Linked DNA regions of Coturnix japonica. The main gene of each other region encodes a partner of the protein of the gene in region 7 in a complex. Links are inferred from orthologs where the notes say so. Each region holds a gene or a part of one and is shown on either strand. Other genes may lie near its edges.

What was found.
Region 1: SNRPD1 (region 7) and SNRNP200 share a complex: the UniProt entries of both Homo sapiens proteins name them as parts of the U4/U6-U5 tri-snRNP complex. The link is inferred for Coturnix japonica from reciprocal best matches to the Homo sapiens genes SNRPD1 and SNRNP200.
Region 2: SNRPD1 (region 7) and PRPF6 share a complex: the UniProt entries of both Homo sapiens proteins name them as parts of the U4/U6-U5 tri-snRNP complex. The link is inferred for Coturnix japonica from reciprocal best matches to the Homo sapiens genes SNRPD1 and PRPF6.
Region 3: SNRPD1 (region 7) and STRAP share a complex: the UniProt entries of both Homo sapiens proteins name them as parts of the SMN-Sm complex. The link is inferred for Coturnix japonica from reciprocal best matches to the Homo sapiens genes SNRPD1 and STRAP.
Region 4: SNRPD1 (region 7) and CRNKL1 share a complex: the UniProt entries of both Homo sapiens proteins name them as parts of the minor spliceosome. The link is inferred for Coturnix japonica from reciprocal best matches to the Homo sapiens genes SNRPD1 and CRNKL1.
Region 5: SNRPD1 (region 7) and PPIH share a complex: the UniProt entries of both Homo sapiens proteins name them as parts of the U4/U6-U5 tri-snRNP complex. The link is inferred for Coturnix japonica from reciprocal best matches to the Homo sapiens genes SNRPD1 and PPIH.
Region 6: SNRPD1 (region 7) and GEMIN5 share a complex: the UniProt entries of both Homo sapiens proteins name them as parts of the SMN-Sm complex. The link is inferred for Coturnix japonica from reciprocal best matches to the Homo sapiens genes SNRPD1 and GEMIN5.

The regions. Positions count from the first base shown.
Region 1 is NC_029537.1:1,057,741-1,062,303, forward strand, and holds the start of SNRNP200 (U5 small nuclear ribonucleoprotein 200 kDa helicase), read right to left. Parts: upstream 3,171-4,563; 5' UTR 3,082-3,170; coding exon 3,037-3,081; intron 1,956-3,036; coding exon 1,792-1,955; intron 929-1,791; coding exon 757-928; intron 638-756; coding exon 445-637; intron 1-444. Other genes in the region: protein FAM178B, read left to right, coding at 3,535-3,805. UniProt on the Homo sapiens protein: Catalyzes the ATP-dependent unwinding of U4/U6 RNA duplices, an essential step in the assembly of a catalytically active spliceosome. Plays a role in pre-mRNA splicing as a core component of precatalytic, catalytic and postcatalytic spliceosomal complexes.
Region 2 is NC_029535.1:8,471,150-8,475,226, forward strand, and holds part of PRPF6 (pre-mRNA-processing factor 6), read right to left. Parts: intron 3,865-4,077; coding exon 3,688-3,864; intron 2,827-3,687; coding exon 2,693-2,826; intron 2,245-2,692; coding exon 2,153-2,244; intron 237-2,152; coding exon 122-236; intron 1-121. UniProt on the Homo sapiens protein: Involved in pre-mRNA splicing as component of the U4/U6-U5 tri-snRNP complex, one of the building blocks of the spliceosome.
Region 3 is NC_029516.1:57,769,758-57,773,731, reverse strand, and holds part of STRAP (serine-threonine kinase receptor-associated protein), read right to left. Parts: intron 3,489-3,974; coding exon 3,392-3,488; intron 1,009-3,391; coding exon 871-1,008; intron 302-870; coding exon 165-301; intron 1-164. UniProt on the Homo sapiens protein: The SMN complex catalyzes the assembly of small nuclear ribonucleoproteins (snRNPs), the building blocks of the spliceosome, and thereby plays an important role in the splicing of cellular pre-mRNAs.
Region 4 is NC_029518.1:3,884,693-3,888,769, reverse strand, and holds part of CRNKL1 (crooked neck-like protein 1), read left to right. Parts: coding exon 1-138; intron 139-628; coding exon 629-807; intron 808-1,415; coding exon 1,416-1,586; intron 1,587-1,812; coding exon 1,813-2,004; intron 2,005-2,920; coding exon 2,921-2,980; intron 2,981-3,146; coding exon 3,147-3,227; intron 3,228-4,077. UniProt on the Homo sapiens protein: Involved in pre-mRNA splicing process. As a component of the minor spliceosome, involved in the splicing of U12-type introns in pre-mRNAs.
Region 5 is NC_029536.1:5,567,012-5,571,708, forward strand, and holds the start of PPIH (peptidyl-prolyl cis-trans isomerase H), read right to left. Parts: upstream 3,091-4,697; 5' UTR 3,022-3,090; coding exon 2,956-3,021; intron 2,658-2,955; coding exon 2,593-2,657; intron 2,333-2,592; coding exon 2,309-2,332; intron 1,940-2,308; coding exon 1,895-1,939; intron 1,664-1,894; coding exon 1,621-1,663; intron 1,289-1,620; coding exon 1,196-1,288; intron 541-1,195; coding exon 453-540; intron 1-452. Other genes in the region: CCDC30 (coiled-coil domain-containing protein 30), read right to left, coding at 3,692-3,905, 4,079-4,149. UniProt on the Homo sapiens protein: PPIase that catalyzes the cis-trans isomerization of proline imidic peptide bonds in oligopeptides and may therefore assist protein folding. Participates in pre-mRNA splicing.
Region 6 is NC_029528.1:6,015,664-6,019,740, forward strand, and holds part of GEMIN5 (gem-associated protein 5), read right to left. Parts: intron 3,965-4,077; coding exon 3,832-3,964; intron 3,397-3,831; coding exon 3,237-3,396; intron 2,722-3,236; coding exon 2,509-2,721; intron 1,811-2,508; coding exon 1,725-1,810; intron 1,313-1,724; exon of another isoform or gene 1,183-1,312; coding exon 1,088-1,182; exon of another isoform or gene 457-1,087; coding exon 320-456; exon of another isoform or gene 1-319. UniProt on the Homo sapiens protein: The SMN complex catalyzes the assembly of small nuclear ribonucleoproteins (snRNPs), the building blocks of the spliceosome, and thereby plays an important role in the splicing of cellular pre-mRNAs.
Region 7 is NC_029517.1:39,382,146-39,386,126, forward strand, and holds the start of SNRPD1 (small nuclear ribonucleoprotein Sm D1), read right to left. Parts: upstream 2,801-3,981; 5' UTR 2,624-2,800; coding exon 2,610-2,623; intron 2,058-2,609; coding exon 1,981-2,057; intron 892-1,980; coding exon 700-891; intron 1-699. UniProt on the Homo sapiens protein: Plays a role in pre-mRNA splicing as a core component of the spliceosomal U1, U2, U4 and U5 small nuclear ribonucleoproteins (snRNPs), the building blocks of the spliceosome.

The DNA.
Region 1 (4,563 bases), on a different chromosome or scaffold from region 7:
CCCATGATCTGAATCTCCTTATCATCATTGCAATCTGTGCCCATTCCCATGTTCTAAATCTCATTGTCACTATCACAATCTGTGCCCATACCCATGTTCTGAGTCTCCTTGTCACCAGCATAGTCTGCCCACAGCCATGCTCTGAATCTCCTTGTTACTACCATAGTCTGTGCCCATACTCATGCTATGAATGTCCTTGTCACCACCACAATCTGTGCCCATACCCATGTTCTGAATCTCATTGTCATTATCATGATCTGTGCCCATACCCATGTTCTGAATCTCCTTATCATCATTGCAACCTGTGCCCATACCTGTGTTCTAAAGCTCCTTATCACCACCACAATCTGTGCCCATACCCATGATCTGAATCTCATTGTCACTATCACAATCTGTGCCCATACCCATGTTCTAAATCTTCTTGTCACCATAATCTGTCCATACCCATGTTCTGGATCTCCTTGTCACCACCATAATCCGTGATCTTCTTGCCCAGGTTCACCAGCACGTGATAACGGGTGTCGTCAGTCTGGCCCAGCAGCAGATCGATCTCTTTACGTCTCTCCTTATCACGCAGCTTCTCGTTCTTCAGCACTGCCAGCACTTCATCAGCAGCTCCACACAGAATGTCTCGTGGCTGGGGAACAACCAGCAGCCACATAAGCAGGAGATCACCATAGGGGCAGATATTATGGCACAGATATTATCCCCCTTGTGATATGGATGTGCCCCCATCACACACATCCAGCTCCTCACCTGGTCCCCGAGGGCAGCCTGGATGAAGCTCAGCAACACCTCGTAGGTCTCCCGTGTCTCTTTGGTTTTAGGCTTGTAGATGATCCCCACCATCTCGTCGATGCCCTCGGACAGCAGAGTGTAACCCTTCATCTTGTTGATGTCGTGTCTGTCCTCATCGCGCTTCCTCCTCCTGCAAACAGAGAGCACCCATAGCAGCTCAAAGCAGGGAATCCCAGTAATGCTGGACAGCAAAGCGTGGGCCTTCCCTTTGTTAAAAATAAAGGTAAACTCTGCCCCGTTTTTCCTCCTTTTTAGCCCTTTTCCTTTCACTTTTCGCTTCCCGACAAGGAGAGAGAATGAAGCTGCAAAGGGTCTGGAGCCAGTTTACAATGAGCAGCTTAGGGAATGGGGTTATTTAGCCTGGAGAGAAAAGGAGAAACTCCATATCTGCCTCAAAGGAGGACACAGCAGTGAGGGGGGGTTGATCTTTTATCCCACAGCATCACAAGAGACCCCAGCCCTGGGTTGAATTGGGGAAGTTTTGGTCGAGGGGAAGTATTTCTACATTGGGAAAGCTGTGAAGGATGCTGAAGGATCAAAAGGTGTGTGTATGTGGTGCTTGGGGATGGGCTGATGGATATGGGAACGGCTTTGGGGTAAAAGAGGGGAGATTTAGGGTCACCTTCTTCACTATGAGGGTGGTGGAACAGAGGAGCTGTGGGTGCCCCAACCCTGGAGGTGCCAAAGGCGACTGAAGTTGTGTTGGGTATAAGCTGGAGGGGGGCACCAGGGCAGGAGATGAACCTGGGGGGGCTCTGAGGACCCACAACTCAACCACATATAACAACCATATATGTTGGTATCTGACCATACACCAACACGATACCACCACTCAATGCCACCACTCAGTGGTGTATGCACCAATTGGGATCCATCACCTCACAGCTCTTTCCCAACCTCCATCACTGTGTGATTCCACATTGCTTATAACCACTGAAGCCCCACAGCCCCCTCAGAGCCCCCTCCCACCCCCAGGCCCCGCTCAGCTCTCACTTGGCCCGTCGCTCCTCCTGCATCTGTGGCTTGGTGCGCTGCGCCTTGTCTCCCATCCGCGTCCCTTCCAATTTACCCACCAGGGACAACACTTCACCCGTGGGTTCATCGCGTCGCGTCCGGTCAATGAGAGAACGGTCAGCTTGGAGCACGAGGTTGGAGTTCTGGGGGGGGGATGGGGGTCACAATGCATCAGGTGGAGCCTTTATGTTCCTACAGCCTTATTACACAGCCCTATATCCCTCCCACAGCCCCTATTATCCTCCCCACAGCCCTATATCTTTCCTAGAACCCTTATTACCTTCCCCACAGCCCAATATCCCTCCCACAGCCCTATATCCTCCCACAGCCCTTATTATCCTCCCCACAGCCCTATATCCTTCCTACAGTCCTATATCATCCCCACAGCCCTTATTATCCTTCCCATACCCCAATACCCTCCCCACAGCCTTTATCACCCCCCCACAGCCCTATATCCATCCTACAACCCTTATTTTCCCCCCCACAGCCCTATATCCTTCCACAGCCCTATATCCTCCCCACGGCCCTTATTACCCCCCCACAGCCCTATAGCCATCCTACAGCCCCTATATCCTCCCCACAGCCCCTATTACCCTTCCCATACCCCAATATCCACCCCACAGCCCTATATCCCTCCCCACAGCCCAACATCCTTCTCACAGCCCTACATTCCTCCCATAACCCTTATTACCCTTCCTATACCCCAATATCCTTCCTACAGCCCTATATCCTCCCACAGTCCTTATTTTTCTTCCTACAGCCCAATACCCTCCCCACAGCCCTTATTACCCTTCCCATACCCCAGTATTCTCCCCACAGCCCTATATCCCTCCACAGCCCTATAAGCATCCTACAGCCCTATAAGCATCCTACAGCCCTATAAGCATCCTACAGCCCCTATATCCTCCCCACAGCCCTATATCCTTCTTACAGCCCCTATTACCCCCACCCCACAGCCCTATATCCTCCCATAGCCCCTATTATCCTCCCCACAGCCCTATATCCAGCAGCCCCCACCGCCCATAAGGGACGCAGGCCGCACCTCCAACCATCTCTTAAAGCCCCCGGCTTCAAACAGGCCCGGTTTAAATCACCACAGGCCACACAAGGCCCGACAAGGCCTCACTATACGAGATCCGCCATATTGGCCCCCGTTAGACGGGGAAGGCCCGGAGGAATGAGGCCGGCATCCCCACCGCGCACAGGCCCCGAGCCGGCACTCACCGCCTTGTACTCGTACTGCAGGCTGCGAGCGGTCACGTCCGCCATGTTGCCGCCCCGCCACCGCCGTGCACGGGAACAGGCCCTGGAGCTGAACTTCCGGCGGAAGCGGAAACAACGGAAGCGGAAACAGCCCGATCCCGGAAGAGGTTCCGCACAAGGCCTCCCAGCATGCACCACGGCAGGGGCCCGTTGACTGCAGCTCCCAGCATGCACCGCGGCAGAGGCCCGTTGACTGCAGCTCCCAGCATGCACCGCGGGAGGTGGGGGGCGGGGACACTCTCCACCCCTTCTGATTGGCTGAGAGCACAGGTGGGCGGGACACTTCTCTTCTTTAACCAATCCCGTTCAGCGCGCGCGCTGATTGGTCGAACCCTCGAGCCGCGATTGGCTGCCGGGCTCCTGTCGGCAGTTAAACGGCCAATCCCGCCGTTAGTAGCCGCACTTGGTAGCGCCGCCTTTCTGAGGAGAGCCCGCCCTTTTCTCTCACCCCGCCCGCCCATGGCCGCCATGTTGCGCGGGACGTCGGCGCGACGAGGTCAGCGGGCGGGGCTGCTCCGCTGGTACCAAATCCCGCTGTCCTCGGCCCGTGTGCCCCGCTCGGGGCTCTTCAGCTCGTCCTTCCAGTACAGCCTGTGTTCCTACCAGCAGCTCCGTGTCAGTAAACACCTCCGGGTAGGCCGCCCCTTCCTCCCGCCGCCGCTCGGCCCAGTGGATCCGCGGCCTCCGGCCTCACCGCCCCCAATGAGGCCTCAGGGCGGAGCACGGACAGGTGAGAGAGGACGGGGGGGGGACCATGTTTGGCCCCACATAGAGCAACACAATGATCCCCTTGTATAGCCAGGGTCCTATAGAGCCCCCACTGATCCCTATTGAATCCTCAGAGCCCCTATAGAGTCCCCCATTGATCCCTATTGCTCCCCATTGATCCCTATTGATCCCTATTGATCCCTATTGATCCCATTGATCCCTATTGATCCCCACTGCCCCTATAGAGTCCCCCACTGATCCCTATTGAATCCTCAGAGCCCCTATAGAGTCCCCCATTGCATCCCCAGTGCCCCCCACTGGTCCCCATTGCATCCCCAGAGCCCCTATAGAGTCCCCCATTGCATCCCCAGGGCCCTATAGAGCCCCCCATTGCATCCACAGTGCCCTATGGAGTCCCCCATTGATCCCCATTGTATACCCAGAGTCCCTATAGAGTCCCCCACTGATCCTCTTTCTATCCCCAGAGCCCCCATAGAGCCCCCCATTGCATCCCCAGGGCCCCCCACTGATCCCCATTGCATCCCCAGAGCCCTATGGAGCCCCCAATTGCATCCCCAGAGCCCCTATAGAGTCCCCCACTGATCCCCATTGCATCCCCATTGCATCCACAGAGCCCTATAGAGTCCCCCATGGATCCCTATTGAATTCTCAGAGCCCCTATAGAGCCCCCCATTGCATCCCCAGTGCCCCCCACTGATCCCCATTGCATCCCCAGAGCCCCTATAGTGTCCCCCACTGATCCCCATTGCATCCCCAGGG
Region 2 (4,077 bases), on a different chromosome or scaffold from region 7:
GAGGCTCATTAGAGCTGCTGCAGCCAGCATCACGTGGTCGTGCTCAAGTGCAATGTCTCATCAGGGATGCAGCTACACACACCAAAATGAGTGTCTTTACTACATCAGGACGGGAACTTACTTGGCCACAGCCAACAGAACGTGTGGGTCGTGCTCACACTTCTTCAGGGCATCCACACTCTTGGTCTTCCGTTGTGGTCGCGCTTCAAGGAAAATTGCCTCTGACCACAGGATTCCTTAATCAAGTGAAGTAGAAAGATTTAGTGTGAATCAGAGATTAATCCTCCCCATCATCAGGCCAGCGCTCTATGAAGTGAGCAGCACTACTGTGCCCACCCCAGAAGTTATCCCTGCACCTCCACCTTGTCTCAAATCGCTCTTTCATCATGGATGCTTCATTCAATACTCTGAAATTTAGCAAAGGACCCTCAGTTCTGAATGTTTCTGTACCACAACAGCAGTGTGCACGAGCACAGAGCTTAAGCCTTTCCAATTAGACACCGCACACAGCAGAGGGGAACTCAGAAGCAGCAACAAGCTGGTCTGAATGGAAAGCTACAGTGGCAGGTGAAGTCCCACAAGGTGTAAAGTACACCACTTGGGAGCAGTTTCAAAGGTGCCAAAGAACACCACAGTATTATTGATGCTGGCTCTCCACACATATGACGAAGGACACGGTAGGGCCAGGAAAGCTGGGTTTAATCCCTAGTTCCTTTCACTGCCAAAAGCAAGAAAGGAAACATGCTCAGAGGAGCATGAAATCTTCAGTTTCTAACGCCAGTCAACCATACCTGTTGATCACTTCAAGGCAAAGCCTGAAAGCTTGGGTCTGCCAGGACTCTATCAAAGCACTCTCACTTCCCATAAACTGCACATGGGAATTAACACACTCAGATGACAGCAGTGACAGACTGCAGCAGAACTCTAGATTTGCTCTTTACATAGAGTCAAACCATTCTCACAGACCTCTATTTTCAGTCCTGCTGAGGACACAAACACTGATGTATTTCAGTTCATGATTTTATCCTTTGTGCCATCTATGTCAGCCACAAGCAATGGTAATCAGATCAGCAACTGATGGACGCGGGTCAGGTTTACACAATTGTAGGTGTCTAACAAACTCAATCCTGCAGGTTTTTCTTCCTGGTTTGTAAACTTTTAAGAGTTGGGAGTTATTTTATTTAAACAGAATCTGAGATCTTACTGCCTATTTCTATAGCAACAGGCAGAATCTGCAGAAGAGCCTGAGGTGGCAAACACAACAAGTGTTAGGTCCTTCATAAAATAAAGCTGGTATTACTTTGTTGGCCCACTCACAAAGCAAGCAGCTTGCAGTGAGTTGATCAAGCCATAAAAGTCACTTAACTCCCATTACTTCACTGGGGTGACTTAAGCAGTCATCAACTAAATACCTTTCAAAACCAGCCTGAAGGCAAACTAAAAAGACTTGCCCTGTGGTAGGTTACCACACTTTCTACTGAAGTGACATCTCTCCAAAGATGTCAACACGTTCAAAGAATTAAAGCCTTCCCACAATTCTGTCAAAAAGGAAAAAAAAGAAAGGAAACTTCCATTTTCTCCTCCCATCCCAAGAGGCAAATGTTTCCACTGCTGGTTAGAACCAACCAACTTCGTTAAGGAAAGGCAAATAGAGCTTATATGATGAGCTAAAATAATCAAAACCCATTAGTAGTGCAATCAGTGTGGGCAAACCAACAACAGGAAGTCTCCTATGGTCAATTATACCCCAATGAGACAGGGGAAAAAACATCCTTTTTCCACCAAACTCCCTAATTACAAAAGCTTGAGAGTCTTTCTTCAGTTTTAAACCTTGGCACAGACTTCTACCAGCCTCAGAGAAAAGCCACCCATGTCCATGATTATTTTGCATGAAACCTCTTGACAAACTGTGGACCACAAAATCGATGATGCCAACACCAACCCATGTTCCCTTCAGTGTGAAGCACTACAAAGTAACCAGGATCATTCACAAAGCCCCCCCCAACCCTCCCTTTGCAGGAGAATGGCTGTCACTTCTCTAAAATGCATTATTCTGAGACATGGCCAGAAAGGCCATCTTGGATAAAGATAATCCTTTACTAACTGAGCAAACACATAACCAGGTTTAAGATCAAAATGACACCCAGCTCACCTGAATTAGGGCATTCTTGCAAGGCCTTGGCCATCAGAGTATTTGCAATGTTCTTCAGCCCAGCTCTGTACTCCAGTCGCACAGACTCTAACCTGGTAATAAAGAAACCCAGTGATGATATTTATTGTAACACATTCACTCTGTAACACAAATCAACTCTGAGTCACATGAAAGTCACTGGAAATTACAAACATGCCCATATGAACACATGCACCTTACTGACTTCTTCCCATTCCTCCCCATTAAAAAACACATTTTGCAATGGCCTAGTCCATTTCTCATATCATTTTTAACCTATGATAGAAACAAAAGACCCCTTGATTTTCATGTTCTCTACACTGCAACTATCTGTAAAGAAACAACAGGTCCCCAGCTCCTCAGAGTAGCCACACAGCAGCCAGAATCTCCAGAGCCCTTCTTCAGAAGAAGTGCTAGGATAGGTGTGCTCATAAGTTCTGTGATCAAATAACTGAGGTGTGAGATACCTCATGCATGCATCGATCTTGCAGCTCAAACTAAGTTCACGTCTACACAACTCACCAGAGATCCGCATTCTTTGGATTCTTTAGGCGAGACTTTTCCAAGATAGCCCTTGCTCTGGTCAACTGTCCCACCTTCTCTTCCAGTCTGGACAGCAAAAGCCACAGAGGGATGGAATGGGGACACTTTTTCAGCTGTTTAATATGATAACAAAAGGTACGGTTACTATGCAGATCTGAAAACATTATAACCCCCATAGAAAAGGAATCCCTTCCTTGAATCTTTCTGAGGAGTTCAGAAGTGAGATAAGTGACCACATCTCTCAGATTTCTCCTAGTTAATCATATAGCACTAAAACAGTAGAAATCTAGTTTCTCCTATAACCAAAACACCAAGAACACCACTATGACTAAACTTCCTCAATGCCAAGCAAAAAGAAAGAATACACCTCCCTTAACAGTACATCTATGACCTGTGCTCCATCTAGAGATGGAGAGCTCTAATAAATAACAAAATCACACCTGCAGAGTACGCAGGAAACGCATTGCCCTTGAAGCTCACAAAGTCATTAGGATACAGACACCGGCAGAAACCTGCTTCCCTATTACTTGCAGGGCAGATGAGTTTCAGGAGCATTCCTACAGGACGCCAATTACCATTTAGAAGACACATGAGTACTCAGCAGACAATCTCCTTTTACAGTGTTTACCTAACCTTATTAGCAGGGTCTTCTGTTAAGAAGTTCTGCTGTTTAGTCGTTGCAGGTCTTAGAGAATTATTGTGTAATGACTTCATTCCTGCTAGTGAGTAGTCAAGCATACAGCAAACTCTCTCAAGCAAGAAAGCGAATTCTGCACACACACACCAGCTAAGAGATAAATTCTCACTGCTTATTTCAACACCCTAATAATTTTCTCTTACTGTTTTAACCAATGACAGGGAGAGAAATCACCTCCACTGTTAATATGGGACAGAGCCCTCTCCATCCTGATTTGAAGACAGACATCTGTCCATATCACAAGCACAAAGCAAGCTTACAATAACATGCATCTTACCCCTTGATTGTAAGCCTCCCTTGCTTTCTCTACCAGCTCCTTTTGTTCCTCGATTTGTCCTTTCATCATCCACAGTTTGGGAAAGTCCTCATAGTGTTTCAGGGCTTCCTCACAAAGCTCCTGTGCCGCAGCAATGTTTCCCAGCACCCATTCCAACTTCACAGACTTCATGAAGACCTGACAAAGAGACGGAGCCGTTTATCACTGGGGAAGAAACAAAAGCAACAAAAACAAGAACTCTGCCAATGCAGTGGGTTCCCATGTCTGTGCATACATTGGGAAGTTATTCATGAGCCTTAGTTTGGAGCAGAAGGCTCCATGACTGACAGGAGAAGAGGACAATCTAAAAGGTCCAAATCTCCACACAGCAAACCAGGTTTTTTCCTCTTA
Region 3 (3,974 bases), on a different chromosome or scaffold from region 7:
ACTATCAAAGGACAAATCCTCTTAACTGACTACATACCTTTCCATTATCTTGTACTCAAATAAGTTCGCAGCACAGCATGCTCTACAAGTTTAATTCATTAGCTGCTACATCATCTATCTAATACTTGTCAAAACTTGTTTTTTATTATTGAAGTCAAACATACCTAATTCTTCTCCTGTGTTATAGTCATATTTATAGAGTTTAAAATCTTCACCACCTGCAACCAAACATTCTTTCTCTGGGTGAAGGGATGCAGAATTGATTGTAGCAGGTGCTTCAAATGATTTAATCTGCTCTAGACTGAGGGAGGAGAAAGAACAGGTATTTTAAAGCAGGTCCTGAAAGCAAAGGAACTGTGATTCTACAATTCATAGTTGCTTTTAAGAAAGACAGAAGACACCCACATGCAGTTTCTGAAACAAATTTTTAACACTGGCAAGTCAAGCTCATAAAGTTTTGAAACAACAAGTTCAGAACAAGCAAAGCACACAGATAAGTTCACATATTTCATACTACTTTCTGGCACATATTTATGACTGCAACTTGCTTTAAAACATCATAGAAACTGTATGAATTAGTTCTCTTAAAGCACTAAATTGAACTCTGGATGAGAATCTTATTTAATGACAACTCCAGTTAGCTTTGAACCATGAAAATGGTACTGATCCATTACAATCTACCATCTTGCAGACAATCGGGGACCACTAGGTTAGAAAAGGATAGTTGTTTCAGACCTTGTCTCTGACAACATGGTAGGCAAAGATATCTACTGACATGGGTTCTAACAGCTTCATGATCGTGGCCTTGTATTGTCAGTTTTACTCACAATCAAACCCGTAACTCAAAAAGATTCTGTGTTTTAGACTCACGTTTCTGCACTATGAAAAGCAATAGTTTTCCCATAGGTTATCACAAGTATTTGCCCTTCTGGAACATACTCCATGCTGCTCACAGACATTGCAACATTTAGCGCCTTCACTTCGGTCATGGTACTCCTGTCCCAGAGGCTTAAGAAAAATCAGAAAGAAGAAAGATTCTCAGATCAATTCAACACACCAGTTTCCACCTCCACCCATGGCATGCTGTGGTTGCAAAAAACCCCCAATAAAGAATATTCTACAGACACTTTAGATTTTCAGCAGCATTCTTTGCTTTGCTTAGCTTTACTTACATGAGAATTAAGACAAGTTTGCATTAAAATACTGCTACTTTTAAAACGTATCAACTACATTAAACAGTACACATACTGCTTAACTACTCAAGGATTCTCTTAAAAGACAAAAAGCTTTATTACATGTCTCCTGAGCATTACAGCTTTCTAGAAGCAAAGCTTAAGATTGCATTCTGCCTTTTTAACACAAAACATATATATATAATACTAATTTAAGAAACTAATAGACTCGTTTAATATAATTTAGCATTTTGCCTAGGCAGGCAAGGAATATCTAAGCTAAAATCAAATTAAATTATAACAAACTGTCCCACGCAACATCCTGGTCACCATAATGGAGAAAATGGATTTGAGGGATAGACCACTCAGTGGATTAGGAATTGGCTGGACAGTTGCACTCAAGAGTTGCAGTTAACAGCTCAGCATCCAACCAGTGACGAGTAGCATTCCTCAGGGACTGGTACTATTTAATATCTTTATAGATTATATGGACAGTAGGATTGAGTGCAGCAAATGTGCAGATGACACCAAGCTGAGGTACAGCTGACACACTAGAGAGAAGGGATGCATCTCAAGCCAGACAGGCTTGAGAGGTGAGCTCACACTAACCTCACAAAGTTCAAAAAGGACAAGTGCAAAGTCCTGCACTGGGGTTGAAGCAATCTTAAGCACAGACACAGGTTGAGCAGATTTTAGCCTGAGAACAGACCTGAGGAGATGGATTTGGGAGTGTAATTTGATGAAACTCAACACAAGAGAAGTGTGACCAGCAGGTCGAGGGAGGTGATCCTGCCCCTCTAAACTACCTGCATGAGACCTCACCTGGAGGTACTGTGGCCAGTTTTGAGACACCCAGCATAAGAATATCAAGCTGTTGGAGTGGGACCAGAGGAAGGCCACCAAGATGATGAGAGGGCTAGAGCACTTCCCCTACGGGAACATGCTGAGAGAGCTGGGGCTATTCAGCCTGGAGAATAGAATGCTCTACAGGAACTTTACAGCAACATTCCAGTACCTGAAAGGGCCAACAGGAAAGCTGGAGGGGGACATTTTAGAAGGGCACATAGGAACATGGCAAGTGTAAATGGTTTTAAACTGGAAGAGAGTAGATTTAGACTAAACATTAGGAAGAAATTCTTTGGTTTGAGGGTAGACACTGGAACTGGTTGCCTAGTGAGGTTGTGGATGCTTCCACTCTGGAGGCATTCAAAGCCAGGCTGAAAGGGGCTGGGAGCAACCTGGTGTAGAGGGAGGTGTCCCTGACTATAGCAGGAGGGTTGGAACTAGATGTTCTTAACGGTCCCCTCCAGCCCAAACCATTCTATAAATTATGAGTTTCTTATTTCATTAAATAACTCAATGCTGTTATTTCAATTTCTAAAATTCAGAGAAAAAATAAAAGACCAGTCTCTTGACTATCTTGAATGAAGGAACTGAAAAAGAATTGGAGCCAAAACAGAAACAAGGAGACTGCAACTGTGATTTCACTCTATATCTACTGCCCTTCCACAAAGCAGAAAGCCACTATTACTCTATGCCATAAATATAAGAATAACGAGACAAGTAGACATGAGATGATGCTGATCACATCAACCAGAAAGTTGTGGAAGCAGCAAGGCACATCTTCCTTCTTTTTTGGCCAGCATAGATTGAGGAAGGATCTTTATCATTTCATCTCCCTAGCAGCCAAGTCTGTCTAGGCTTTAGCCCATCTACATTTAAGGGGATGATCTATCTTACAAAACCAGAAAAGCTTTCTCAACTTACCACATGGAAGAGAAAGACAGTTATGATTATTAAGAAGGCACTGTCTCCAGAGAGGCTTCCCTGCCTTTTATCCCAACCCTCGCCCAATGCATGTTTCAAGGCTTGACTGCAGAAGACAAGGCAGAGACACTTCAGCATGTCTTCACAAGACCTCACCTAGAATTTAATTTCCTCTAGGATTAGAAAAATCAAATTAATTCTACTATTCGGTTATCAGAGACCACCTCTTCCTATCAGGGAGGACACGTTTATGGTGCAAATCAGAATTAACAGAAAAATTATATCTTCAACAACATGAAAAACTGGATTACATGTGCATATTCTAATCTAGAATCAAACAGCCTTTATTACTATTTCCCAAGGAAATAACAATCCTCTGACAGAAACTGTACACAATAAGTAAAAGTGAGCTTCAGAGAAAACTACTAGAAGTTTGGTTTTTTTTTCCTTACCGGACAGTTTTATCATCAGCTGAAAGAATCTGTTTGTCATCACTGCTCCATAAAGCCTTTTTAATACCAGAAGTATGCCCACTGACAACATCAGGTTCTTGAAATAAGAACAAGTATTTCAGTACACATAAGAATATAAATTAACACTGTGCAGTAGTTTAGGAACTCTGGTCATCTACATGGATTTCTATTTACTAGAAGCTGCAAAATTACTTCAAACACTACTGACTTTTATTTACAGATTTCAATCTAGGAATCTATCCAATTGTCTAAACTTAAAAAGCTTCACTAGGTTAAAATCAATATTAATTAGCTTGGTATCAGTTTTCAGCAGTTCAGTATTAATACAAATTTAAGCACACTTCAATATGAAAAGTCTTTTGCCTTTCGGGTAGTGTAACTTTATTCAGACCTAGTCATAGTTAAGTCCCTGTTAAAGTCAATCACACTATCCTTAAATCTCTTCATAGATAAGCTCTATTTTACTTCAAAGACTAAAACAATTTGATTTAGTATAGAAAACTGTTATAGACACATTCTTTGTACAACGAGCCTCAAGTGTGTCTTTTGTGATTCACAACAA
Region 4 (4,077 bases), on a different chromosome or scaffold from region 7:
TGGGGAATGTTGCTGGATCACGTCAGGTGTTTGAACGCTGGATGGAATGGCAACCGGAGGAGCAAGCTTGGCATTCCTACATTAACTTCGAGCTGAGATACAAGGAAGTGGATAGGGCACGTACCATTTATGAAAGATATATCCTTTTTAGTGCATTGTGTCTCCTATCCAAATTTAGGCACGAACTCTTTTGTCTCTATTCTACACCGCCTCCTTTTTACTGTGATGTGCTGGGAGTAAGCCACCATACTGAGAGCCAGTGGTGGGTCTTAAACACACGTTTAATAAGATGTCTCCAAATTTAGTTGAATGTACAAATCCTGCTCCAACAGGGAACATTTAACAGCACCCATGCCTCTAAATTATTTTGTAGGCATGATTTGTTCCAGTTTTCTCCTTTCTAGCCTTCTCCCTGCCTCTTGCCTGACTTTTATTCCCTTTATTAAAATTCAGATTTACAGTACTCAGCATGATACCTTTGCGTGGTCAGAGCTGCTTAATGTCTTCTTCCCAGTTGTGTTACTTGCATATGTCATTCTTAGGAGTTGTTTCACCTGTGCTCACTGGGAAGGATGCCATTTGAGAGATTCAATTCAACTGCTACTGTTTCTTTAACGTAGCTCTCTACTCGTTATTGTCCATCCTGATGTGAAAAACTGGATCAAGTATGCCCGCTTTGAAGAGAAGCACTGTTATTTTGCTCACGCAAGGAAAGTATATGAAAGGGCAGTGGAGTTCTTTGGAGAAGAGCATATGGATGAGCACTTGTATGTGGCTTTTGCGAAGTTTGAAGAGAACCAGAAAGAAGTAAGGCTGTCTTACATCAGACTGATGCTAACCACAAGATTTCTTTCTGAGTATCAGACTCAAGGTCCCTTAACATTCACTTCAGTGCTTGTGTTTTCCAGCAGCTTTGTGGTCTTACGTAGTCTGAGTTAAGGAATCAATCTTTTTCTTAGCTTATATTTGGCTTTTGGTGACTTTGAGAAAATATTTTCTAAGCAAAATAAGTGCCAAATATTCCCAGCCTCAGAATAATCCCATTCGATCTCATATGTGTCCTCTAGTATGAGACTGTAGATCAACTGTGTGCATAATGCAAAATAAAAGCTCTATTATCCATGATTTTGCAAGTAAGCAATTCAAAACATTCTGTGAACCCCAAACTGCAGACTCTTAAAAATACTTTAATTATTCCAAACCTATAAATGAGTAAGTGATAGTAGGTTTTGGTACTAACAGATCTTTCTTCTTTTCACTGTTACCCTCCAGGGAGATCTGTGTTAGTCCTGTCCTAAAAAGATAATATACACTAAATGTTGTTAAAGGATCATTTGAGATACTAAAATGTACATTATGGGGTAAGAGAGTAGTTGAATTCCAAATATAATTCAAATGATATTTAATGTTTTCAGTTTGAAAGAGTAAGGGTGATCTACAAGTATGCCTTGGATAGAATTCCAAAACAGGACGCCCAGAATCTCTTCAAAAATTATACCATCTTTGAGAAGAAGTTTGGAGATAGACGAGGTATTGAAGACATCATTGTCAGCAAGAGAAGATTCCAGTATGAAGAAGAAGTGAAGGTATGTATTATAAATATTCACTGGGCTCATCGTGGAGATAAAAACACTTTAACCCACCTCCCTTTCAAAGCTCTAGCTTAGTCATACTTGAGACAGTTTTTGCTGGTGTTTCAATGACTTGTTTTAAAGGGGAGATTCGGAATAAGAACTAAGTAATGGAAAAAGTTTTGTTATTTGCAGTTAATTAAATTTCTTTCCCATTTCTCTGCTCCTAACTTTCTGGAAGGCAAATCCACATAATTATGATGCATGGTTTGACTACTTGAGGTTAGTTGAAAGCGATGCTGATGCGGAGACTGTCCGAGAAGTATATGAAAGAGCCATTGCTAACGTTCCCCCAATTCAAGAGAAGAGATACTGGAAGAGATACATCTATCTTTGGATTAACTATGCGTTATATGAAGAGCTGGAGGCAAAGGCAAGTAGTAAGAACTCAGTTTTTTTTCTTTTTCTTTCTGAAGTACTTTTCTTACACAAAGTAGCTACAGGTACCTGCAGAGAACTGAGAGCAACAACAGTCTGGTTTGTTTTGTCATTAGCTTCAGGGTTTGCTGTTTAAGCATTTGCCCCCCTATACATACACCTTTATTTGTGTGAAATAGCACTTCCCTTGTATGAAGAGAAAAGCATTCGTTTTGCCCCAATTCATGTAGAAACTGACTGATAAAAGCAAAAACAGCTCTTTCTAGCCCTATCTGAATTTCCTTTTTCAGACTGTTGCCTGAACTTGTGCCAATACTGGTACAAATGGTATATAAATAGTATTAATAGGTATTATTTGCCTAATATAATAGGTATTTCTTCTGTTTTTTTTATCAGTTAGGTAGCAAGGTATTACAAATACAGCAGTATTACAAACAGCAGAACAAAACTATTAGTAAAGTTGTTCTGTGAAGCAGTCGAGTTCTTGGTACAGTTCCCTTTTGAGGCTTTGTCTAGTGTGTTACCAGTCATGTCACATAGCTACATTTGATTTCATAAAGTCATAGTTCAGTATAGCTGTTCAGTGTCCCATAGAAGGAAAAATATCTATATTTTTCCCCTAACTGATAACACTGATGGCTTTATAGGCTCATTCCTAATGAGACTTTTCTTTTAAAGAGAAGGCCCTTAATGACACTCAGAATTTACCATCTTTGAATTGTGCATACACATGTGTAGATAAATACCTAGGTTTTTTTAAGTATACATTATTCTAAATTCCTGTACTTAAAAAAATACAGTTCTACAGTTTGACAATCATTGTGTGATTCAAAATGGTGTAATTACCATAATGTGATCTGAACAGTGAATGAAGAATTGAAATTTTTGTTTAATTTTGTTTGTTCTTTCAGGATCCAGAGCGAACCAGACAAGTTTATCAGGCGTGTATTGAGCTCCTTCCACACAAGAAGGTACGGCTCCTCCAACAGTTCATATAAACTCTTACGTTGTAAACTGTAAGATATACAGTATTGGTAGTGTGAGTCCGTATGAAGATAGTGATGTCTTGTGAAGAACACATGCAGAATTATTTACTGAGCTCCCAACCCATGCATCACATTGTTCTTTTTCTTTCAGTTTACATTTGCCAAAATATGGCTGCTGTACGCACAGTTTGAAATAAGACAGAAAAATCTTCCACTTGCTAGAAGAGCTTTGGTAAGCTTTGGTTAATTCTCTAATTGATTTCCTTAACTAATAGTAACTAGGGAATGGCATGAGAAGATCTTAAAAATTGTCCTTTGTCAATTGCTGGTTTTAATCCACTTAAATAAAGCTTCCTAGAGATCTGCAGGGACCAGAATTTACTGTCATGTATGATTAAAGTAGTATAGCTTGATATGATGAGTTAGCCGCAGTCTGAGATGGATGCAGCTTTCCTGTTTCTGCTGGCAAAAGATGTATCTGAATACAGGAGTACAAATCAGCTTACTACTCTTAGAGAGCTTTAACTGCTGCTACTTTGTTTAAACAATACCTGTATTAGCAGTTGCTTTAAAAAAAAAAATCTAAATAAACAGGCATTTTTGATTCTCAGACATTCAGACTTTCATGATAACATTTGAATACCAGCTACTTGGTTGTAGATAGAAGCAATCATGGGGGCTTTGTGCAGGTGCAAGAGCTTCTGTGCAAATTTCCCTACCATGTCAGTGAATGATGGGATATGTTTTGGCAGCAAAAAAATATGAAATGGAAAAGACTGTTTTCCCTTCAGTTCAGTTACTCTGAGTAAGTTGAATGACAACAGTGGACTTTGGTTATCCTCCAGCATGCTAGTAAAGCTATATTTGTTGGGCTGGACTCCTGTCCTTGCCCAGGAAAAAAGTAAAGCAGAGGGATTAAATGAGACTTAAAATCTCGCTGTAGGAGAAGGCAACCATCTGTCATGAAACATGCTGTAGTTCTAGCTTGATTTGAAATACCCTCCTTCCATTCTAGAAAGGCTACTTTGGTCTCTGTTATAATAGTTCCTACAGTTTATTTTAGACTTCTCTTTTGCTGGTCT
Region 5 (4,697 bases), on a different chromosome or scaffold from region 7:
CTCATGAAGAGGCCTGGGCACAGCTCTCTAAACTGATAAAAGGGCAAGAGCTTAAGGTCTGGCCTTGAAATCTTACAGCTCTAGAGGCAGTACAAGTAGTCAGTCATCCTCTGAAAGCACATCTCATACCTACAAACCCAGCTGAAAGCTCCATTTGGATGCCAGCCCCTTCATGAAGGTATCCCTTCATCCTTCATCCCTTGTCCCACCTGCACTGGCATGAGGATTTATATACTAACAATGATACAACCATCCAGGATCTGATCTGGATTAAAGTTAAGCTGAGAAAAAAATGTTCCTAATGACGCATCTCAATACCTGGCTGCACAAATAGCTCTGCTGGCACAATGGATGGGGAAGGAACAAGCAAATCCACAGCTGCTTATTTTTGACCCTGTGCCACAGAAACTGTGTAAGAGTCTGTATGCCAGGCCTGCACGGCAGGTACTCACCGAACACAACATGTTTTCCATCCAACCAGTCACACTTGGAGCACGTAATGAAGAACTGACACCCATTAGTACTTGGACCACTGTTTGCCTGCAGGTTGAATTTGTCAAAATGCAAAGCATACAAATTAGGACTTCCCAAAGCTGAAGGCAGAGACATCTCACAGCAGAAAGAGCTGCTGCTTTAGCTCTAACCTGGATACATTTTATTGAGCTCACTGCTTTACAAACCAAAGGAAACAAGACAGACATTTGCAGGACAGCACCTGTGCTTGGTCACGGTGCATTATCAAGTCAGGCCCTGCTACCGTGTGCAAGTACACAAAATCTTTACTGGCTACAACATCACACTGGGGAAATAACGTTATAAAAGATTTCACACTAACACTGCTGTGGCTCTGAAACTCCGCAGTCTTTGTTTCCTCCTTGCTAAGGTCAGTGTTCAACAGAGGCATAAGGAAAGAAAAAGACCCATCACTCATCACTGTACCAGATCTGCAATCCTCAAGCCTTTATGGAAGCTGAGCAAATAAAACGTGTTCCTGAACTCTGACAGGTAAGAAGAAAGGATTCTGGAGGATCAGGACTCACTTCACGAGCAACCTTCTGACTGCTACTTAAAACACAGGCCTTTCAGACCCCCCAGCCAACTGCAGATTCCTACTGTTTGCCAAATACAATGTATAAAGTTAGGAAAAGTGCAGAGAGGAAACACCAAAAGCTATCAGCCTTCATTTTATACTCACCATAGAAAGCAGGCCAGGAGCAGAGTGCTTCAGCTTGAAGTTTTCATCTGCAAAAGGACCCCTGTATATACTGGCTACTCCAGTGCCATCTCCCTGCACAAGAGAGGCAATTAGTCTGCCACAGCGTTTACTTTTGCATCGTGAACTTGAAATAACTAAGCCTGACTTGATTTGTACTATCCCTTGGAATAGCTGCTTGGTTTGTGTACTTAAGCATCTCTTCTCACACATACAGTGGAGATTCTCTGCCTCTTACTGGGGGGATGGGAGAAACAGGAAGGACAACAGGGTGAAAAGAAAACCTCTGCAAGTTTGAAAAGCCCCCAGTTATACCATCGTACTGCTAAGAGAGAGAAAACATGGGAAGGATGAGCTGTGTGCTGTACAGCACAGGACAAAGACAAAAGCAACGTGGTAGTACATACGTTTACAAAGTCACCTCCTTGGATCATGAAATCCTTTATTACCCTAAAAGAGGAAAATGATACTTAGTTCCCAGGAGAAAAATGTCTTGTGAATGTCTGCAAACACTACAGCCTACGACCAGCGAGCAGTATATACGACCAGTGAGCAGTATATACAATCTGTGAGCATTAACAGTATCTGACAGCACCCAAAGGGCAGACAGCAGAAGCCCTTGAGGCAGGTCCCAAAGCCACCTACTGCTACTGAGTCTCTCAACAAAAGCAGAAGTACCACCTGTGGAATGTGCTTCCTTTATAACCTATGGGGACGCCATCTTTCCTACAAGGAAATAAAAAGGAAAATCATTACAACTCACAGTAAGTCCCAACACAAAACCCTCCCAGGAGCTCACACCCCCAAAGGGACGCCCTGTACATTAGGCCTAATACATCACCTACCAAACCAACCCACCTCCTTCAGCCCATCCTGGAGCTTAATTTCACACTACCAGAGGCCAAGGGAAACCCTGAATGGCCACAGCTGTTTGCAGCATCCATTTCATCAGCTCAAAAGGATCCCACTGCAATTTGCAGCACAGACATCTGCATCCCCCCTTTTCACACAGGTAAGGAAACCTTCCAAGTGAGCCCTTTCCCAGCCCAGTATTGTCTGAGGATGGTAGATAAAAGGAGAAGATAAACCACATACCTGAATTCACCGGTACAAAACTGCCTGGAAAAGAAACAGCAGAGAAAAGCCGAGTATGAACCACTTCTGAACTTTGAGAGCACAAAGGCGGCATTCAACAATGAATGCTGTGCAGGACTTGGGTTATTGCAATGGGGATGAAACAGGAATCAATGGGAACCACTCAACGCTTCCATTTCACAACAGAGCTTTGAGGAGATACTGAGAAAGCTGCGATATGTAACGAGCTCAGGAGGTTTATATCACGATATAACGGTACCGTGCTCACAGAGGCTGCTCCTCACCTGAAGTTCTCTGCGGTTTTGGGCACCACGTCAGCGAACAGCTCGATCTTCATGCGGCCAACCTCCTACATAGACACAAACACAGATATAGACACACATATTGACACACATGGATATAGATACAGACATAGACACAGATACAGACACAGACATAGACACACACAGATACAGATACAGACACAGACACGGCCGGCTCACCCCGCTCCCACACACCCCCCCGCCCCCCAGCCAGGCCTCTTCCCCCCGCTCCTCCTCCCGTAACCGCCGGGGATCCTAAACCCGCCCGAAGGGGAGCGGCTGCGGCCTGTAGAAGCCGATGAGGCGGGGATGGGCCCGGAGAAGCGGATCCGTCGTGCCGCTCACCTGCCCGCCGATGGTGACGTCGAAGAACACCACCGGGTTGTTGGGGTTGGCCGCCAGCACCGCCATGATGGTGGCCTCAACCGGAAGCGGAAGTGGGGCAAAAGAGGCGGGGCTACGCACGCTCTGACGAGCGGAAATTGTGCGTGTGACGTCATCCCGTCATCTACGTGGGTGGGGAGGCCGGGACAACATGGCGGCTGTGGAACCGCCTGCAGCCACGGCGTGTAGAGCGGAGGGAGCGGGTCGGGCAGCTCACAGCGCTCTATGGAGCCCCATAGAGTGAATGGAGCCCCATAGAGTGAATGGAGCCCCATAGAGTGAATGGAGCCCCGCGGATCCCGTTACTGCTTCCTGCCTGTCTCTCCTTCAGCCACACGGGGGCAGCCGCTCCCGTCTCAGCACAGAGCAGAGGGGAAGGGAGGAACCCGGCGGTACGGCCCAGCACAGGGAAACCGGTCCATGTTTTATTGAGGAAGCTTGGAAAGCAGGGAGTGCAGATGAAGGGAAATAAATCTCATCCCACCCCCGTTCTTTGTCTGTCTGCAGATTGCAGCTCTGGGCTGAGATACACACACACCTTTAAGGTTGGCCATGTTAATTATTAAAGAAAGCAGCTGTTGAATAATTGAGATACCACAGAAATCACCAATTATCATCTGCCAACACTCCCTCTTTCAATCTTGTATGACAACAGGAGCCTGAATCCTGGCAGCCTGCACTTTACATCGTCCCCAGGTTACATGTTCTCGGAGCTGATGCTCTGACTCTCCTCCTGCAGCTGGGAGGTTGCAGTGTCTCCAGGTGAGGCGACGTTCAGGTACCCGATCTCTGAAGGCTGAGAGGGGGAGAAGCAGAAGGACGAGTCCTGGCTCTCAGCTCCTCCTTCAGGCTTGGAATCGAGCACAGGCTTCAGGCTGCTGAGGGAGTCTGGTGGTTCCCGTGGTAGGAAACTAAAAACACATTCAGCTCTTCAGTCACTTTAAGCATTATCTGTTTCCTTGCCGCCTGCACAGCCGCGGTGCGCCTCTGCGAGGCAGCACAGGGCCATGGCTGAGCCCAATTCCTGCCTTCCCACAGGCAAGGAGTAACCCACCCCCTTCCTTTTTGTTTTAACCCACAATACCTGGCACGGGGAGGTGGTGCTGACACCTTACTCTGGAGCTGCCGTTCAGAGAAGTTGGCATTCTTCAAGTCCTGGAACAACAGAGACTTTCAAAGGGGGATGTGCATGTCAGACCCTCAATTTCAACATACAGCCTTGGACCTGAAGGCGTCCCCCGTTCCACTACAGGCTCCTCAGCTCTACAGTACTACTAAACATAAATCTATCCTTTGAATCTGAACCTTAACAACAAAGAAACCAACCCCAGAGCTCAGGTCAAGCAACCAGAAAGAAAGAAAACAGAACAGACTGCACAAACAGGTCCTGAAAGTACTCTTGCATTTGCAACCACTTGTTTCCAAACTGGGTTCAGTTCTAGCACCAAATTCCATACAAGTTCAAAGTCAACTTGGGGTTTATCATTCACTCCCTCTGCTTGCAGTGCTTCAGCTCTGGAGATCCCAGGGCCCATCAATGGTGTTAAATAAAGAGGTGAAGAAGGCATTAAATGTCTCTGCTTCATTTCATCTCCATTTGTGAGATGACCAATCTCACTGAACATCAGACCAATGTTTTCTTTAGTCCTTCTTTTGCCGCTAACATGCTTGGAAAAGCCTTTCTGTTAAAGAAGACAACCTGT
Region 6 (4,077 bases), on a different chromosome or scaffold from region 7:
GAACACAACTGGCAACTAGGAATTACAATTAGTCTGCAAAACAAAAGCCACCCAAGTGTCTGCTGCATTTTGTAGTAGTGACATAAGTTTGGGCAATTGAGGACTGAATGAACTGCAAGATGATGGAAGAATCACTGGCTACATCCAGCGCAGTGGAACGTGTCAAATGAAATGTCTTGATTCCAAAAGGACCTTGTTGTTCCACCTCCTTATGCTCCTTAGTAAGTTCTGCATGTTCCAAGAAACTTCAAAAGCCTACAACTATGGGCTACAGAACTATAACCACAAATCCATAGAAAAAGGCAAGAATCATACTCACTTTAATTGAATTAGTGTCTCTGATGGTTTTGTTGATGTCATTTGCCTCTCCACTAAGTTTCCAAGGGTTGTGTTGAAAAACAATACCTTCTCCAGCACAACTATATAAAGTTACAGAGGGATGTTCACCTTCTTCTCCTACTCAACAGAGGAAAAAAAAATCTAAGTATACTATGCTCTTCGTCAGTCTTAGGAAAAGCAATTATTCTTACTATAAATCAAAACAGTATTTTAAAATGCTGTATGTATGCTTTGATTCTCTGAGATCTGGCAGCAAGAAATTCTCAAAATACAATTCCCTAAAAGGACCCCTCATTCATTCTCCATAGCACAATTGCTGCACACATTAAAACTCCCTTTAAATCCTGGCCAATAAACCCCCCCAGGTTGCATAAAAGACAAATGGAGCTGTTCTGTTTAGTTTTAATGACAGAAAAACAGTTAGAGCTAAATAATCTGTACTTGATCCTAACCAATTATTGTGGAGAGCCTACATAGCTATTTCAGCGCATTACAAACATGTAACTATGTGGTGTTGTGCTCTACTCCCATCCACTTCCCGAACCTTTCAAAATACAGAACAGATTATTTTGCTCCCTTGGCAAAACTGTTACCAGTTTCTCAGGCAGAACGCATCCTTAGTGGATAGAAAGGACTGCTACCAAGCAGATGGAGCTCACATCCATAAGGAAGGGAAGCACACCAACTTTGTGGCATCTGTGTGCTCTGTATGGATTTCTACTTTGTAACAAGACATTATAACACTCACCAGAAGATAGTGGAGGAGTTGGAGGTCCCCAGGCTAATGTGTATACAGTCTTCTTGTGGTAAGTACTGGAGATCTGTGGGGGCTTATTCTTAGCACTGTGCAGGAAGGTAAGGAAACAGGAGTAGTCTGATTGCAGCAAGGGGAAATACAGAATAAAACCCCTAACAAAACCAAACTGAAACTAAACCAAATCCAAAACAAGCAAAAAAAAAAAAAAACCCAAAATTCAAACTAATGTATTTCCAGTAGTGAAAACAGACGACAGGTGCTTCAAAATACTAAAGCAATGGCTCAGCCAAGCCTTTGATGCTTCCTGTAGAACACTACTAAAATCAGAACAAAACTGTCCTAATGAATTGCATCTGCATGTTGCTCATTTTATGGAACTTTTTCTGGCTTAACTCATCCTTGACTGATGACTTCCAACAGGTGACTGTTACACAATTTGAGTAAGGTTTCTTTAAGAGCTGCCAGTCACAAGGAACAGATGAAAAGATACACTTAAAATACATCTGACTACTTTAAATTTAACTTTTAACAAATATCAAATGTAAACCTCAGGAAAGACCACGTCATCTATGTGTGCTGCCATACCAGCAAGATCGAATACTAATGAATCTGAAAACTACTTTCTTACCTGCTGGATAAGGCATCAAATATGCCAACCTTTCCATCCTCTGTTCCAAAAGCCAAACAACCTTCTTTAGTTGGATGCCATGCTAACTGCAAGAAAAGTACAAAGAGCCCCATAATGACAAAAGGAATTGACAATTTATTTTTAAATAATAAACAACAGGTTAAGCACTGAAATCAAAAGCACTGTCCCTTATATTCACCATGCTAACTACAGCAACTCAATTTAACCACATTGTGATGTGAATCAAGGACTCTTCCCTTAACAGTTACTGGGACAAGAGGAAAGGAACTGAAATCATTGAAATGCTACCTGACTGCTACATTACAACATAGAGTCATACTTTTGGTGTGATCAACTAACATGTTGTAATGCTGCCATCGTTTACTAGATGTTAGTATTTAGCCAATTGCTGTTCAAATTCAAACTGAAGGCATCAGTGCCAGTTTTTCTACATGTTAAACTTCCTAGCAAACAAAAGGAAACTGTGGATGACACAAGGAATGATCACAGTTGTTTACAAAACCAAGAAAGTGAGGCAATAACCACCTAAACTTCAGCTGATTTTCAGTATGTGTACTGTAAATACCTACTGTTCTAAAAATGTCTAAAATGCTGATCAATTCTAAAATTTATATCATGCAAATTGAGAGCAGAAGTAACAACTCGGCATTATAGGATTTAGTTAGGAAAAAACCTTCTTCAGTGTGAGAGAAAAACATTCCTCAAAGAGAAAAATGGAGTGAGAAAAGAGACAAGAAAAAAGGGGAATGTAAAGCACACTTACTGCTGTAACCTTGGATTTTATGCTTTGCCAGTAGGTTTTCACATCATAGATGTTGCTCATAGACAAAGTATTCCAAACGCGGATCATGCTGTCTCCAACACCAATGGCAAGACAGCCTGGGTCCACAGGGGAGAAGGCGAGACTGTAGACAAATCCCCCAAGTGAAGGCATTGTCCAGCTACAATCTAGAGTTGATAGGTCCCAGCACTTTATCTAAAGAATATTTAAGGAACAACGAATGATAAAGTGACTGGTATGATGGGGGGGGAAAAACAAAGCACAAGTGAGAGGAAGACTCAGAGTATGCACGTGTCAGTATGAGTCAAAGACAGAGCTGTATTAACTGCAAGACTGCGATGGAACAGGGCTATGGTTTAATTATATGGTCCTCTTCTAAATTCAAAATAGGAGGCACTGTGCTGCCTGTAAAAATCAAAACCAAACCATAACAACCCTTCCTCCCCCCACAAAAAAGGCAGCTATTAAACGTTTGATTTTTCAAGTCCAGAGGGCATAACCATTCTGTCCTCCAAGGTAAAAGCTTGAGCTTACATGCTAACAAAGAAATGCACAACTTGTGCTCAGAAGAAATGTTGAGCCATGATGTTATAAAGGGCAGGGATAAGCCTGCTTTAGGAGAAAATGTGTGGTCATCAAAGTGCTAGTTTCACTCAGTCAAACTGAACTGCCGCTGCTATTTTGATGTTAATTTTAAAATGGGTTCTTACATCTCTGTCCATTGAAATGGAAAGAAGCAGCTCTTTGTCTTGATGCTTCAGGGAACACAAATTGAACACAATACGGGAGTGATTTTGCCCTTCTGAAGATCCCATTAGTGTCCACTTGCGTTTTCCAGGTTGAGTTAAATCCCAGTGTAGCAGTTCTCCTCTGTGAAACGTAAAGTGTGTATATTTCATTCTTCACTTCAAAAAAATCATATCAGCGCTCACGCACATACTGCAAGTGTGAGAGTAATACAGATAGACACACATGCACTACACGTCCCTCTACAGAGATAAAACTACCCTACAGATATCCATTCCTAATCACATTGGAAGTGGAAATGTCAACTGCTTCCATTAAATGGGCAAAAACCACAAATAGTACCATTAGCAGTCAGTATTCAGTTAGATTATTAAATGAATTGTGGGGCAAATAACAGCCTTCTAGAAGACTGAACTTCCCCTACACTCTTAGCCTGTCCTCTATCTTGCTATACTAGGAAGGGAGGAAGATGGGGGTGTCAGTGTTTCCTGCCAGTTGTTCTTTAAATATCAATGAATTAATGTACAATTAATTTTACTTGCTTTGTCTCCTACTTACCCAAAAGAGCTGGATACAATTTCTGTAGGACGACCACAAGGCCAGTGGACAGTGAGCCAAATGCGCTCTTTAACAGCAGGATCAACAGCTCCACCTCTTCTCTTTGTGGGTGGCAACTTCAGAGTCATTACACCTTTGGAAAAGAAAGGGATCGTCTCGACTTTGTACATCCAAATTCTCAGAAAAAAAGACCTGAGAATCTGAACTTTAAGTAGGCTCCCCACTATTTAAACTATTGAGTTAGCA
Region 7 (3,981 bases):
CCAAATAATTAAGCATAAATTACAGGAGAAATGGCAAGCAGTTGCTTTAGAGCACGATTACCTTTAACTTATTTCTGGAAAGACACACTGATTAACACTGCTGGGCAAAACTTTTACTGCCTGAAGACACAAACTTTGTGGAGTTTACTGGATATTAATTGTTAACGGCGCAGAACAAAACCAGAAGCATTCCCTATTCTGTTAGGCTTTAAGGGCTTTATCCACAGGAACACAGCCTCAGCTCCCTCTGCATTCTGAAGCCCCTTCAATTCGGTTCTCCAGCAGATTGTTTGTATCCACTGCCAAGTGAGATTTCAGTCCAGCACCGCTCCTGAGGCTGCTCTATATTTTCTTATTAGGCTAAATACAAAGTTACACACAGAAACCAGGGAAACAGAGCAGACATTTTGAAAAGAGAAACTGTGCATCCCATTGGTGCTGCCTCTGAGAATGCCATAGGTTAAGATTTACTCACACTTAAAGACGTTTACACTTTAAAACAGATGCATGAGAAGCTGTGTAAATAACTTCTCATGAAAGGAGACTACAGACACAATGAAGGTACACAAGGCAGAGTTCGGTACAAACCCTCAGAGATGAAAGCAATACAGAAATTAAGATTTCCAATCACATGCCTTCAGAGCGAGAGCACGAAAACACAAAGTAAAACAAGCAGAGACTGGGAAATCATGCACTCACCTGCTTCTCTTTTCTTGGACTTGACTTTTGGTTCAACATCTACTAGCAAGGTGTCCAGGGGCAAACTGTCTGGTAGGATGAAGTATCGGATGTTATTCCCCCGAATGCTCAATGTCTCCAGCTGTACAGGCTCCCTGTTCTTCAGCGTCATTTTCACAGCCTTGAGATGAGTATTCATACTGACATCCACTCCTGAAATAACACAAGGCTGATTTCAGGGGTGGGAACACACAGGATGACTCCTCTTTGGCTATTATTAACTGTGCACGTGCTTCAAGACTTTGCTAACACACGCTTCTGGATCTGTGCCATTTGTTAATTAAGCCTCTTAAGTGGAAGAAGAAACTACATCTTTTTTTCCTCTATTAATTATGCTGATTTATCAGCTGCTGCCCTCAACACTGATATATTTCCAAAGGAAGAGCCACTTACCACCAGCTGTAGGGATCTGTTCCTAGGTCTTAAGTCATAGCAACACTAAACACTTAAAATGATTCCTCCGGACAACAAATAAACTGCCACTTACTACAAAAGCATAATATTTGTCTTTTTTACTCCTTTCAAAAGAAAGAAAACGAACTTTTGAGTAGAAAAATAACACTGCGTTTCCTTCTAAGTACAACCATGATCTTCTGATCAAACACATCTAACATCAGCATCAGAAGCACCAACTGCAGGTGGCACCGTGGCTGCAACAGGCTTCGTACACCCATGTACAGGGATGACTGTCATTTTAGAACCATGGATGGCACTGCAGGGTTTTACAGGTTCTTAGCACAGCATGAGAGAGACTTTGCTCAACAGCGAAGGCTGTGAGAGTACAAGGGTAGGAGGCACAGAGTGCTGCCACCACAGCCAGCTTCTAACAAAATGGACGGATCTGGCTGCAAAATAACGTGCTTTTAACCCTTACATCTCAGTAGATTGTAACCATGTTCAGCATTTACCATTTATCTGTGCTACCGTTAGAAAAATATCTCTCTGCCAGTGACTCAGTGGTGACTTCTTGATGCAACTACAGTGTACTGCAGCTTTACCAATGAGATCACAGAACGGTTTAAGTTGGAAGGGACCTTCAAGTTCCAGCCCCAAAATGTTCTGAAACATAAGTGGATAGGCTGTATGACCACTGCCCTTTGATACAGCAGTGACACTGTCTCACAATGCCTGCATGCTGCTGCAGTAATTTCAGATTACCACACTTACACCAGCCACGCCAGCACCGGTTTCCTTTACCCCACACAGCTCAGATCAGCCTGGGAGGCTGCTGGCACACCGTACCTGTGATGGTGCCATGCACCTGCGTCCCGTTCTTCAGCTCGATGGTCACAGTCTCGTGACTCAGCTTCATCAGAAACCTAGGAATTAAGCACAGAGTGTTTGCTGTCACACTAAGCCTTATGTCCAACCACATGCTGATACGGGGAACCGATCGATGTACATCCTAACGCAAACGTTCTCAGCTGCCATGAACTGCACTGAAGGTGCTCCATGGGGCAAAGCCAAAGCCCCAAACGGCGCCCAATTGCCAGGGGCTGGAAACGGTGGCACCGGGCTCAAGCAGCGTCGGGACAACGCTTCCAGTCACAGGGTTTGTGTTTTGAGCGCCCTGCGTGAGTTGGGTTCGGGATCCCTCGTGCATCCCGTCCAACTCGGGCTGCTCTCTGACCACCAGCTAAGCAGCAGCCATTTTGGATCTCGGCACCGCGTGAAGGCGCTTCCACCCGGCTCCGCCCCCAACCCCCCGGGGTGGTTTCCCGGGCAGCCCCGCTCGCAGGCCCAGCCGCTCGCCGCAGAGCCCAGGCCGCAACGAGGCCCCGACAGGCCGGGCGGCCTGTGTGTGGGGAGGGGGAGGCGGCCTGCGCGGGCTCCCCGCCGCCTCTCTCCGCGATCCGCCTCCATCCGCTCACCTGACGAGCTTCATTGCGCCGGCGGGACGGCGCGGCGGCCGCGGGGCTTTCGGCGGGCAGCGGCGGCCGCCCCTGGGGGCACGAAAAGGCCTCGGCGGAAGCGCCGCGAGCGCGGGCGGACAGGAACGCGGCCTCCAACGAGCGCACCGAGCCCCGAGAGATTGAGCGGCCGCCGCCGGCTGCGATCAATGGGCGGAAGCGGCGCGGCGGAAGGGGCGGGACGCAGCGCGACTGCGCGGGGCTGAGGGCGGGCGGGCACTGAGGGGATGCGCTGCCGCCATTTTGGAATGGTGGGCTCGGGATTATACGTATCTAAGCACTGTAGCTGTGTGCAAATAGTCTAGTCCGCACCAGCGATGCTTCTACGTTAAGCAGTTGATAAGGAGCTCAGGCACACAAACGCAGCGGCCAGGATCTAGAAAAATCAGACCTTTTATTATCATTGATGAGTACACTGTTGTGATTTCTGCAATACAGACTCTTTTTGTAAAGCACTGAGATCTGGCTGCCCTCCAGCTCTGAGAACCCACGTTAACCCACGTCTCTCCCTCCATCCCTACACACACACCACAGCTCTTCTTTTCCACATGAAATCTGTTATTTTATGTTTTGCTTTAAACAAACCGCAAAGAACCAAGTTTGAGAGGGCAGCTGCCCGAGAGCCGTAAGAACCATTACATACTGAGTTTATGGTGTTCCTGCACTTTGAGTCTATGACAGAGGTGACACTGGTAAATGAAGTCAGAGAGGAGTTTCCAGTTAACCACCAATTGGTATTCCCAGCACAGCATCGAGAAGCAGACAGAGGCATGGTGAGTACTGATGTTTATGTGCAGGTTATGCTCACATAGAACCAGAAGCCTCCAGCAACATTCAAGGTTAAAATGAACAGATAACTGCAAAAGTCTGTACACAGTTTCAGTCACAACACAGTGAAACACTGGAGTATCAGTGCTTTGTGTTCTAACCTCAGTAACAACAACTGTGCTAGCTCTAAGATTCTACACGTTTCTCCCCCCATTTACATTTTATAACTGCAATCTGAATATACAGCTGTACTTACAGGAAATATTAAACAATGTGCAGCGCCTTAAGCAAGTTTCACGGCTGGTTTTGAACAAACCATATAAAATAAGTGACAAAATAGTTTAAAATTGGTCCTCAAGTAGGATTACTTGTTTTTTATACAGCTTGGAAGCACTAAATTTAAAGACACACATTTATTGTTAACCAGCACATGTTATTTTGTAGCTTTTTAAAGAAAAAAACCTTTCCTTTTAAAGTGTGTTACATCATGCATGAAAAGCAAGAAGCTGCTCCCAAGTGCAACATGGCATTAGGGTGACACCTCCTCCTCTGATCCATACTCCTT